Linked DNA regions of Notamacropus eugenii. The protein of the gene in region 3 interacts with the protein of the main gene of each other region in a pairwise test. Links are inferred from orthologs where the notes say so. Each region holds a gene or a part of one and is shown on either strand. Other genes may lie near its edges.

Region 1 (3,745 bases), on a different chromosome or scaffold from region 3:
AAATGTATGTGACTCAAAAAGGTAATTAAAGCTGGATATTCTTACATTAACATTTCATTCTCAATCGAGACACTTGCCTATCATCTCAATTTGATCTCAAAGGGTAAATTAGGACAGGACATGAGAGAGTTTGCAAAAACAAAAAACCCAAAGAGGTTATCGAATGCATAAAGGTAGCCATTAAAAATTTGTAATAAGCAAAAGAAATTTCATTCTGCTTGGATTCATTTCTAATTCTTAAGAATGTATATTTAAAGGTGAAAAAAATCCATCCCCATTCCCCAACTACAATCTTAATCCTTTGGGCTAGTCATTTTATCAAAATTAAGGCATCTGGCACACTAATTTTTACCTGAATGGACTCAAGCTACTGTCATTTAAAAAAAAAATCTACTTAGTTTACAATGAATTTAAAGTTCCATTACAAAATTACATTACAAGAAATAAACTGTCTTTTCTGAGAAGGCAACATTCTAATCTTGCTTAGGAATGGAAAACTACTTATTAGATTTATAAAACTGATTTTAGATAATTTTAGATAATAAGATAATAGATAATAAGGCCAATAAATGAGCTTTCCAAATCACCAAACTGAGAACAAAATGAGCTCTTAAGTTTGGAACTGCAAAGACACAAAAGGCAGAAAAATATGTATTTACACACACACTGACATCATACCCATCCTTAACTTCTTTCCCAAAGCATATCATAATCAAATATACATATTATAAACAAAAGATGTTTCTTACCAATATTTCTTGGTAATGTAGAAAAAAATTATTTCATTTTAACTATAGACTTCTAGACTTAATGATTCCCTGGACAGGGACTAAATTACCGCTCAAGGCAAGTTATGTTTAACACTTGTGCTGTTCTGGCAGTATACGAAAGGTAAGAGATACCAAGTGTTGATTGAGCAACTGACTGCTTAGTGAAAAAGCCTCACAGCTGGGAGAAGAAAACAGCTGGGAACTAACAGGGTGAAAAAGGAAAGTTTGTTCTCAAAGATCCTTTTCATCCCTTTAGAGAGGGTTTAACTTTTCCAATTCACATGGGGGATAAACTATGAGCAATGAAAGCTTAACAGTCTGACCACGCTGGTTAGGTTTAATCAGCAAAGGGCACAAATCAAAACATGGTTAAATTTTCCACCACTTAAAGGGAGAAAAAAGCTCTTTTCCATTTCCGTAAGTAATGCACTACATTTTTAGTCCCAACCCATGCATGTGTAAACATCAAAGCTTCCGTTTAATCCCAGATTCCTCCGATACCTATCCCTTAACGATGCTTGGCATTTGTAAGAGATTTCAAGATGATGAGCACCTGCCTCCTTGGAATCCAAATAATGGTTTTCAGCTTACGTGAAGTGAAATGTCACTGTCCTCACTTGCAGTTCAAGTCCCTTATCCTAGTCTATAGGCCATGACTACACCTCGTGAATAAAGCCTGTATGTGTAAACTGACAGTGACAGCAAAAATAATGTTAATAGGAGAGTCTCGTTTTTCGGGGGGCTCCTGGCAGACCTGCCAACCTAACTAGACCAACGTCAATGGGCCAGAGTCACAGCCAGGGAAACCTTCCCCCCAGTTTTCAGTAAATCCATTTTCACATCTGCCTCCAGCCTTTCTGCAGCGACTTCAGGCCGTTTCCTCTTGCTGTCTGGCCCGGGGGAGGCAGAGCGGATGGCGTGACAACCCCCGAGGCGTCGCACACGGCTACTAAGTTACTGCTCTGCGAGTCTCCAGGAGTAACAAAGTATCCAGCAGAGGCAAGGCGGCCGCGGAGGGCGCGTTCTGCGGGTCGGGAACATCCCCGCACGCGAGCCGCTCCAACCGGCGATTCCTGCGGCGCCCGTCCCACCCGGGCCGATGCCCCCGCCCGGAGCAGGTCGTGGAGTCGGTTCAACCACCACCGGCGTCTCTACCAGCATTTCCTGCCTGCGTGCCCCGAGGCACGAACCGCAAGCTGGGAAAGCCTCCCCGGAGGCCGTGTCTGCACGCACAGGACCAGCACACGGCACCGCAGGGTCGGGACCTGCCCTGCAACTTACGGTCTCGGGGAGTCGCGAGGGCCTCAGGGATTAAGGGACTTGCCCGGGGTGTCGGAAGCGGGACTCGAACCCGGGTTCTCTCGCACTAAGGATGCGGCCCCGCGCGCCTCCCCCGGGGTCCCCAGTCCCAGACCCGCAGCGGGGGGCGCGCCCCCCCCACCGTCCCAGGGCCATTCCCACGCCGGCGCCCCCGGCCACACCTCCCGCAGCCCGGGTTCCCTCACCTGCCGCAGGCCGGCCCCCGCTTCCCTCCCCAGCCCCGGCTTCTCGTGGCGAGCCGCCGCGGACCCAGGCCGCGGATCTGCCTCGGCGTCCGTACCCAAGGCCGAGCCGACAGGCAGGGCGGGGGGGAGGGGCCGCCTCCGGGGGTGGAGCGCGCAGCCGTGCGGGCCGGACCGCGCTCCGCTCGGCGCCCAACAGTCCCGGGCCGCCGGGCCGCGCCGCTTCCGGGGGCGGGGCCGAGGGCGGGGCCGCGCTGGGCGGGGCGTCACGTGAGGCGGAAGTCCGCGTGGGGTGGCCGTCGTCTCCATAACTACGGAGACTGCGGCGGGATGCTCCTGGATCCCGGGCCGTTGGAGCCCTGCCGCTGGCGCGAGGGAGAGACTGGCGAGCTTGGCCTCCCCGGCCGCGTGGGAGCATCAGAGTGACCGGCCGTCTGACCGGACTCTGGGGTGAGGCTGGGGCAGCGGCCCGGGATGGCCCGTGCGGACTGCCCGCAGCTGGCCGCCAAGTCGCTCAGTCTAGCCCTAGGTCTAAGCCCCAGGAGGCCTCGGCCTGTCCCCGAAGTGAGCGCCCCGCGCTCCTGCCGTCCCCCCCAAACCACCCATCCCCCCACGCTTGACAGGGAGTGTTGAAGAGATGCCCTGTGGGAGCAAGGTTCCGAGGTGTGATGCTGGAACGCCCCGCCTAGGTCTGGTCCACCCCCCCATCCAAGATCCAGCGGCAGGTGGCTGGAGCCCCGCGCCCCCCGCCCTGGCCCCGGGTCTGGCCCTTCCCGCTGCGCTCCGCCAGCTAAAAACGTGGCCGAGTTCCTGACTCCGCATTCAGATCTCCAGTCTGAAGTGACGGGCCAACCAGAGGACACAAAGGCACTGTGCGCCCCGCAATGTGCCACCGTACTTTGTGTGAAAGTGAAGAACTGGGAACCGAACACGTGCCGAACACGTGCTGAACTCTCGGCAGGTGCGGCTTCAGACGTCAGCGCTCACCTGAAACCAGCGGGCCGCTCTCCGTCCTCATTGTCTCCTTGACAGTCTCTCTGTGTCTCGGTGCTCTCGCCGTCTGAGTGCTCCATCTCCCTCTCATTTAGGGCAGGTCTGCTGACCATGAGTGTCCCTGAAGACTGCCCTAGGTCCTCCTCTTCTGGATGATTGGGCTTGATGATCTCAACTCCCGTGAATTTCCATGCAGATGTTTCTGGTATCTGTTTGTCCAGCCCTAACCTCTCTCCTGACCTCTAGTCTCTCATCTCCAACTCCCTATTAGGCATCTCTGACTAGAGATCTCAAATTCAGCAAGTCCAAAATCTTCCCCCAAACTCTCCTTCATTCTTCCTAACCCTTATTACTTACTGCCAAGAGTACCATCATTCTCCCAGTCACCCAAGCTTACAACCCTGAGGTTATCCTTTACTCCTCACTTGTCTCTCCTATTCAATCAGTTGCCAGGTCTGGGCATTTCTACATTGGTAACAT
Region 2 (3,745 bases), on a different chromosome or scaffold from region 3:
AAGGGAAAATGAGAGGAAAGTATCCAAATGGAGGGGAATGAGGAAGAGGTAGGCAGCCAGTATGGAGGTGGAGCAGGACAGAGAACTAACTGGAAGTGAAGAGTGTGCATAATGGTTGGCTTTTGTGATTATATGTTGGGTTCAGGCTGAGACCCAGCAATCACGGAGTTGACCAGGGAACTGAATCATCCCAAGGGAGACACACAGGCACTATGAAGGTGGAGCAGGCTGGAGTGGAGAAAGTTTCCTCTTATCTTCTAGAGTCTGTGAATATGGCATGCTCTGCCTAGAGAGATGCTCTCACAGGAGATCAAAAGAGGAGAATGCTACATGGCCTGATGGGGATGTTCCAGGGGAGAGACAGGAGACTGGGCAATCCCAAAGATAAACAATTTATTTCACAATTCTGTTTAGAATTAACCTCACTTCTATCTGTTATCAAGAACTCCAGGGTGCAGTCATATTCCTATCTCCTCACCCCAAGTACATAGAGAATAAGCCCCAAGCAAAACTGTGAATTGGGCATTTGTCTCACCTTTCTAACATTCTCATGAGCAAGCGCCAGGGATTCTTCGACTCCCTGCCCCCTCCCCCCAGGCTCTTCTAGCCCGAGATGCTAAACCAATTTTCTTAATAATGGTAGCATTTCCCAAATCGTCTTTCATAGAATCCTAGTTGTTCCACAGGACGCTAATAATGTTTATGTGAGAAAACTTCAATACTAATGAAATTTCCCCCTCTAAACTGTGAAATAATGTATATATAAAAATAAGCATTATGTGCAGTAGTTTGGAGAATAAAAACAGACTCAATTTTCTCTATGCCCAATCACACCTCTAGAATAGCATTTGGGGTTTCATCAATATATTTCAAGCACCAAAGTGGTTTGTGAAGAAATTAGTTTGGGAAAACTAATTTAAGATATTAGTGGCTTTGCACTAGGCGCAGTTTAAAAGAGATATTGGGTGAGACCAATCTGGAATCCAAAATAAAGCAACAAACTAAATTGCTAAAGATGAAATTTCAGACATTGACCTCTGGCTGGGACACACACACCTACGTACACACATACATTTAATGGGGGTGGGTAGGAAGTGGCACAGTGGGCATCCTCGCACTTTTGCCCCCATTTTTGCTGTGGCCAGCTTCTATATTGCCTCACCTTGACCCACCTTTCAAAGATCTACCCTCCCTCTCCATCTTTTCCCACGCTGCCTAGGGCTCCTCCGAGGCACAATGGGCCCGGGGTTACTTTGTAACTTCTTATCACTCTCCCTGCGGCGGCTCAGGCTAAAGGCTGGCCGCTCCTTTCTGAAGCCGTGTAGCGTTGCGCCCGTTGGGTGGCGCTGTTGGACCTCTTTGCACCCAACCTGTTGCGCCCTGGGAACACCAACTCTTTTGGACTTGGGGAGCGCCAGTCACTTTGGGGCCCTGGCGGGGCCCACAGCCTTTCCTTTTCCCTTGCGACTTTTGGTCCCTCCCATCACTCCTGCTCTGAAGCTTTCCTCTCGGTGACCTCTCCGTGCCATCTGGCACTTTAGCGCCTCGCAGTCCTTCTGTCACCCCTCCTGGGTCCTCCAGACTCTAAGAGGTTTCAGATGAATGCAGAGGAGACGAAAGTTTTTATTCCTCAAGGTCGGGGAGAGGGGAACTGAGCGAATTCATCACTTTGGGGCCACAGCCCCTAAATGTCACTTAGACAATTCCTAGGCAGCACCGACGAGGCCGGGTTTCTGTTAGGCTCCGCGACAGGTGCAGGCTCCTAGGACACCCTGGGCATCACTAACCCTCCCCCGCTCGCCCCCGCCCGGAATATTCCCTTCTCCGTCCTCTTTCCCTATCCCCACCCCAAAGTTCTGCTCCTTCTGTCTTCAGATGGCACCCGTTGTGGAGCCTTGAGCTTGGGTGCCCGGTGACCCCGGGGCTGCCCTGGTCTTAGTTATCAGGGGGGCCCAAGCTCGGGGCCCTCTGCGTGGCTGGCTGGGAGCCCCCGGGAGGGAGCCGGTCAGAGGCCAGAAGGCGCCTGATGCTCCTGGCGCCGCTGGCGGCCGAGACCAGAACGCAGGGAGAGGAAGAAGGCAGAAGCGCCCGGGGGGGCGGGGGAGAGAGAGGAGGGAGTAGGGCGCTGCTGGGGCGCGGGTCAGGCGGCCCCCTCCTCTGGGCTCTCTCTCCGCCTCTAGGGCACCCACCCAGGTCCGAGAGCCCGGGGGCAGGACCATGAAGAGGAAGAGACGGGGCGGCCAGCCGAGCGGAGGGCATGGGCGCCACTGATCAGCCAAGCAAGTCACGTCTGGGGCCATTGGGTTGGTTTTTTTTCCTCCCCCCCTGCTTTTCCTTTCTTCACCTCCCTTGTGGCGGAGGGCAAAGTGGATGTAGCAGCGCCATGCCCGGGCTGGAGTGAGAGCGAGTGAAAATGGCGTATATACAGGTAGGGCCGTGGCAGGAGGGACGTGTCCGGGCCGGGCCGGGGCCGGGGCCGGGCGGGGATGGCATTGGCAGCTTGGGGCCGACTGGGTGAGGACCAGGACGGCTAGCCCTGAGTCTGCCAGCTGCGCCCCGCCGGCTCCTCGTGTTGCCCTGGGGCTGGCGCTCAGCCCCGCGCGCAAGAAACTTGCCAAAAGAACGGGGGAGGAGGGAGAGAGGGGAGATACTGGCAGTTTGGGGATAAAAGGTTTCAAAGAGGCAACCTGTTTGCGCGGGCTCTCGAGCTGCCCGGGAGCGTTTGGTGGAGACCAGCAGAGGCTACTGAGGCTGGGGCGAAGCCGACGTGGAAGGGCAGTGGGAGCGCCGCACTGGACGGAGAGGGGGGATGCGGGATAATGTCGGGGTGAGAAGGATAGCTCAGGGTGAGAGGCCCTGGTTACCGCAAGAAGACTGTGGGTTTGCCCAGTCTGGGTGAGACTGGCCTGGGGTGGGGCGTGGTGCGATATGGGCGGGGCAGGAAAGCTCCTGGCACCCACAGAGGACCCACTCGGGTATCTGCCTTGCCTTGTCTTTAGCCTCCAGCAGTGGGAGCAGCTGCGAGTTCCGAGCTCCAGCTGTGGAGCAGTGGGGAAGGGGTAACCTTTCCCCGAGGCCGCAATGGGAGCCCGGGGGTGGGGGCAAAGAGGGAGAAAGGGGTGGGGCTCTAAGGAGAACGGCCCGGGGCAAGCGGCCAGCTGCAGTTACCGTGGTTACGGCTCCGGCTAATTAGCCGCTGAAGCGGGGACGTGCAGCTGTTTGGCGAGAGGGACAAGGACATCTCCTTTCCCCCTAGGCTTGACTGCTAAAGAAGCAGGGCTGGAGGGACGAAAATGATTTGATGGTTGGACTTGAAAGGTAGGGTGGGGAGGAAGGACAGTGAATTGTGTGGTAGTAATGAAGGTGAGATCTATCAGAGAAGTGTTAAAAAAGATTTCATGAGGTAAGAGGGTTAGGAGACCTGGAAGACGGCCTTTGACTGAGATCAGTTCAAATCAGGCCTTTTAAAGGACCCATGATTGGTTCAGGGGCCTTTATCCCCCAGAGGGCTTCAGGTAAGCCCCAAGGTCATGAGGATGCCTAAAGCTTTCTGGCATTCTCACGAATGCAGAGAACTATAGAATGTAACAGTGGAGAACTACAGTGGAGGAAACTGAGACCCAAAGAGGGTGAACGACTTTCCCAAGGTCATAGAGTCAGTTTCTTAGAGCTGAGACTCTTCACAGTTTTTCTGATTCATAGTCCAGTTCTCTCTCTTTTTTCTACATTATCTCTAAATCTGGCA
Region 3 (3,745 bases):
TTCATACATATATACATAATCACACAGCTTTCATACCGATCTCTTCCTCCCTCCCCCAACACACACACCTTCCACCTCACAAATACACCCATCCACACACAAACCAAGGAAAGACACTCAAAAGAAGAGTAGAATGGGAGGGAAAGGATCAATGGGCTAGGTGGAGAGGGGAAAACTCTGGGTGAGTGGAAGAGTCCAAACATGGAACGACCTCAGAGGCTGTTGAGTTCAAATGCCTCATTTTACAGAGGGAGAAACTGAAACCTAGGCAGGGGAAGGGACTGGACCAAGGTCACACAGGTAATAAAGCATTAGAGTAAGAATTTAATCCCAGGTCCTCCATCTTGTGAAGGAATCGATACACTAATTCTGGAGTCAGAATACTTATATTCAAATCATACCTGTGATGCTATTTAAGACCTTGAGCAAGTCACTTCATCGATTTGGGTCTCAGTTGTAAAATGAAAGGGATATTGGAGATGAGCCCTGAGGCCCCTTTCAGTTTGAGATTAAGGATCCTGAGTGGAAACCCAATTTTCTGTCCTTTGAAGCAGACTGTTTCTTCAAGAATAAAGTTAAATTTCACAATATTGGGGCAAAAATGATTATCCCACTATATAAATGGGTATCCTAGAAAAGAAAGGTCTCAACAACTGCCCCGAGGTCACAAAGCAAAAATGGCATCCCAACTGGGATGAAATCTCTTATTTTCTCACCTTTCAGACCTGAATGACAACCTGGAAAACAGACTCCAGGTAACAAATCGGGGGCACTTTACATCATATTTTTCTAATAAACTAATTGGTCAGCCTGTGAGTCATGGAGGAGCCAATAACTGCTGATCCCCTTTGAAAATTTGCTAAGGAATCGGGCAGCAGAGGCTTAGGGTGGGAGAGGGAAAGGAAGCTTGAAGGCTGAAATCACCAGCTGCAGGAAAGACACTGCTCCTACCCCCCCCTCACCCCTACCCACACTCAGCCCCCGGCAGAGGGACAAAGCCATAAAAGAACCCTCCCTGGGCCAGTCACCCCTCCTCCATAGGGGAACACTGGGTAGAGGAAAAGGTGGAATAGGTAGTCTTCTCAGCTCAGCTGGGTCACCATTGGAATAAGAGCCAATAGAATGCATGCATGCATGCATGCATGCATACATACATACATACATACATAATCCCACTGCTTTCATATAGATCTTCCCCCCACCCCCCCAACACACACACCTTCCTCCTCACAAATACACCCATCCACACATGAACCAAGGAAAGACACTGAAAAGAGAAGGTAGAATGGGAGGGAAAGGATAAATGGGCTAGGTGGAGAGGGGAAAACTCTGGGTGAGTGGAAGAGCAAAAACTTCAGTCTCACAGAGGGCCATCCGCGGGAAATAGAGAAGGAAGGGCTCAAGTGGCCAGGCCCAAAGGGCCAGGCCCAGCCACTCCCGCCCCCCCTTCCACCCTGCCATCTTCAAGGTCCCCTTCCTGGCCAGCCACAGAGCGCCCCCCTTCCCCGGGCCGCCCCCCTAACCCCCCCTTCCTCCCCCAGCCAGTGCGCCATCGCCTGATGCTGGGATGGGCAGGGCAGGGCAGGGCCGGGACGGCAGGACAGGCAGAGCGGCCGGCAGGACAAGGTGCGGGGTAGGACTAGGCGGAAGAGTGAGGGGGGAACGTCAAGGCGAACGCGCCCAAGCAAGCCCCGAGGGGGCGTGCCCTCTGCCGGCCGCGTTGGCCACCCTAAGGAATGGAAGCAGGAGCCGGGCACAAGCGGGCACGCCGGGCGCACGCTGGCCTCCTTCCCTACCCTTCCCTCTGACTCGCCCGGCTGCCGCCACGGCCAAAGCTCCCGCCGCCGCCGCCGCCGCCCATCGGGGCGAAGTTGGGCAAGGGTGCCCCTGTCTCCAGGCGGGCCAGAGCGCCTTCCCAGCCGGCCGGCCGGCCGCCCACCCACGGGGCTCACCTGCAGGCGCTCCAGCGCCTCTCCTTGCCTTCCCCCCTTTGCCCATTCCCCGGGCGCCCCTAGCTCGCTTCCTTCCCTGCCAGGAGCCAGAGCAGGAGCGGGAGCGCTCCGCCAGCCCAGGGCGAGCCAGGGCGCGGAGAGCAGCCGGGCAGCGCAGAGCCGCCGCAAAGCGCCGAGAGCAGCCCGGCAGCTGGGCAGGGACCCAGCGACTGAGAGCGGCGGGCAGCCGCGGGCTCAGGCCCGGCCGGCCAGGGCGCTCCCCTACGTACCAGCTGATTCCAGCAGCCTGGCCTCCTCCGTCCTGTCATCTTGAAAGAAGAGACCCACTGAGCCGGGTGGAGGGAGAGGGAGCGTGCGGGTGTCTGTGCGCGCGCCCCGGCCCGGGGGAGGGCGGAGGAGAGCGTGCGTGCGCGCGCGCGCCTCTGCAGGCTTTGGAAAGACACAGTCCTGGACAGCCTCGGCAGCGTGCGAAATGCGGACGGAGGCAGAAATGTGTGCAAACTCCTTCCTGTTCCACCGTCCCCCCCATCCACCCCCGCCCCCCCCACTCTGTCGTTCCCTCCTCCTGATCCCCAGCCGCCCCGCCTGTTCCCAACGCAAACAGACCAACCACAACAGCCGGCGACACTTGTTGTCTGCCCAAGGAAAGGCCAGCTCTCCAGGGCCACCCACGTCCACAGACGAAGGCGCTCTACGCAAACCACCCCGGAGCAAAACAGAAATCAAGGACTGCGCAGACAGGGGCAAAGAATGGCAGGAAACCCAACCCAGCCCCGTCGTTATCTTTTCACAAAGGGAGAATGGTACTGAGTGGACTGTTGGCCCGGGGCCGAGCTGGTGGACAAGGAGCGGAGTCACACAAGGGCAATCGCTGTCTTCCACCATGAAACCAACCGAGCTGTTACCATGGGTACAACTGGGCAGGTGCAGCTAGATATTCTGGTGTAACAGGTGTCCAATACAGGCTGATAACAGCCAAGATCCCTGGCTCAGAGGACCTCTCCCCGCCACCCCCAAGTTCAAATACCACCCGGCACTACTTATGCAAGTCACTCTACCTCCTTGGGTCTCAGTTTCCTGTAAAATGGAGAAGAATGTGGAGGCAGTTGAAATAGATTGCCTCTGAGGTCCCTTCCAGATCTAAATCTATCTAAGCCTAAATCGGTGACCAGCCGTTCCCCATCTACCACAGTACTTGGGATGAGTCCTTTGTCCATCACCCAACACTCTATCCTTTACTGTTAGGAGTGGACTTCTCACCTCAATCCTGATTCTTACTCAATGCCACACCTGTGCTTTCCAAAGACAGCATCTTTCAGTCACTCAGACCTCAAGGCCATGGTTAAACAGTTTAATTACATTGGTAAAAAGTGTGGTCAACATCCAAGAAACAATGAGCACATATCATAAAATGTGCCAATCCACTCACCTACAAACTCTGATTCTCCAAGGCAAAGGGGAAAAAAAAATCCTCCCAGTCTGGACTCGATTTCCTCCCTCTTCAGCATCCCAAGGATAGTACAGGTCTGACTTCACAGCTTCCCAAGAATTGTTGTAGGGATATTCAAGGTTCCCTGGGTCATAGTTGCATAGACAAAGTCTTCTATCTACAATTTAAAGCCCTTCCAACTGTGGCCTCCTCCCACCTTTCCAATCTTTTTCACCTCCATGCATTGATCCAGCTACACCAGCCTCCTGACTATTCCATGCACATGAAATGCCACCTCCCAACTCCATGGAAGATGGTCTTTTGACTGGCCATCCCCCATTTCTTCAACAGTCTACCCCCAATC

The links.
Region 1: the proteins of MID2 (region 3) and SPG21 interact in binary tests that used the Homo sapiens proteins (3 or more experiments, as listed by UniProt). The two-hybrid records come from large-scale screens. The link is inferred for Notamacropus eugenii from reciprocal best matches to the Homo sapiens genes MID2 and SPG21.
Region 2: the proteins of MID2 (region 3) and SYT17 interact in binary tests that used the Homo sapiens proteins (3 or more experiments, as listed by UniProt). The two-hybrid records come from large-scale screens. The link is inferred for Notamacropus eugenii from reciprocal best matches to the Homo sapiens genes MID2 and SYT17.

What each region holds. Positions count from the first base shown.
Region 1 is NC_092872.1:127,366,888-127,370,632, forward strand, and holds the start of SPG21 (maspardin), read right to left. Parts: upstream 2,412-3,745; 5' UTR 2,276-2,411; intron 1-2,275. UniProt on the Homo sapiens protein: May play a role as a negative regulatory factor in CD4-dependent T-cell activation.
Region 2 is NC_092874.1:400,151,376-400,155,120, forward strand, and holds the start of SYT17 (synaptotagmin-17), read left to right. Parts: upstream 1-1,475; 5' UTR 1,476-2,413; coding exon 2,414-2,428; intron 2,429-3,745. UniProt on the Homo sapiens protein: Plays a role in dendrite formation by melanocytes.
Region 3 is NC_092879.1:28,913,240-28,916,984, reverse strand, and holds the start of MID2 (probable E3 ubiquitin-protein ligase MID2), read right to left. Parts: upstream 2,329-3,745; 5' UTR 2,222-2,328; intron 1-2,221. UniProt on the Homo sapiens protein: E3 ubiquitin ligase that plays a role in microtubule stabilization. Mediates the 'Lys-48'-linked polyubiquitination of LRRK2 to drive its localization to microtubules and its proteasomal degradation in neurons.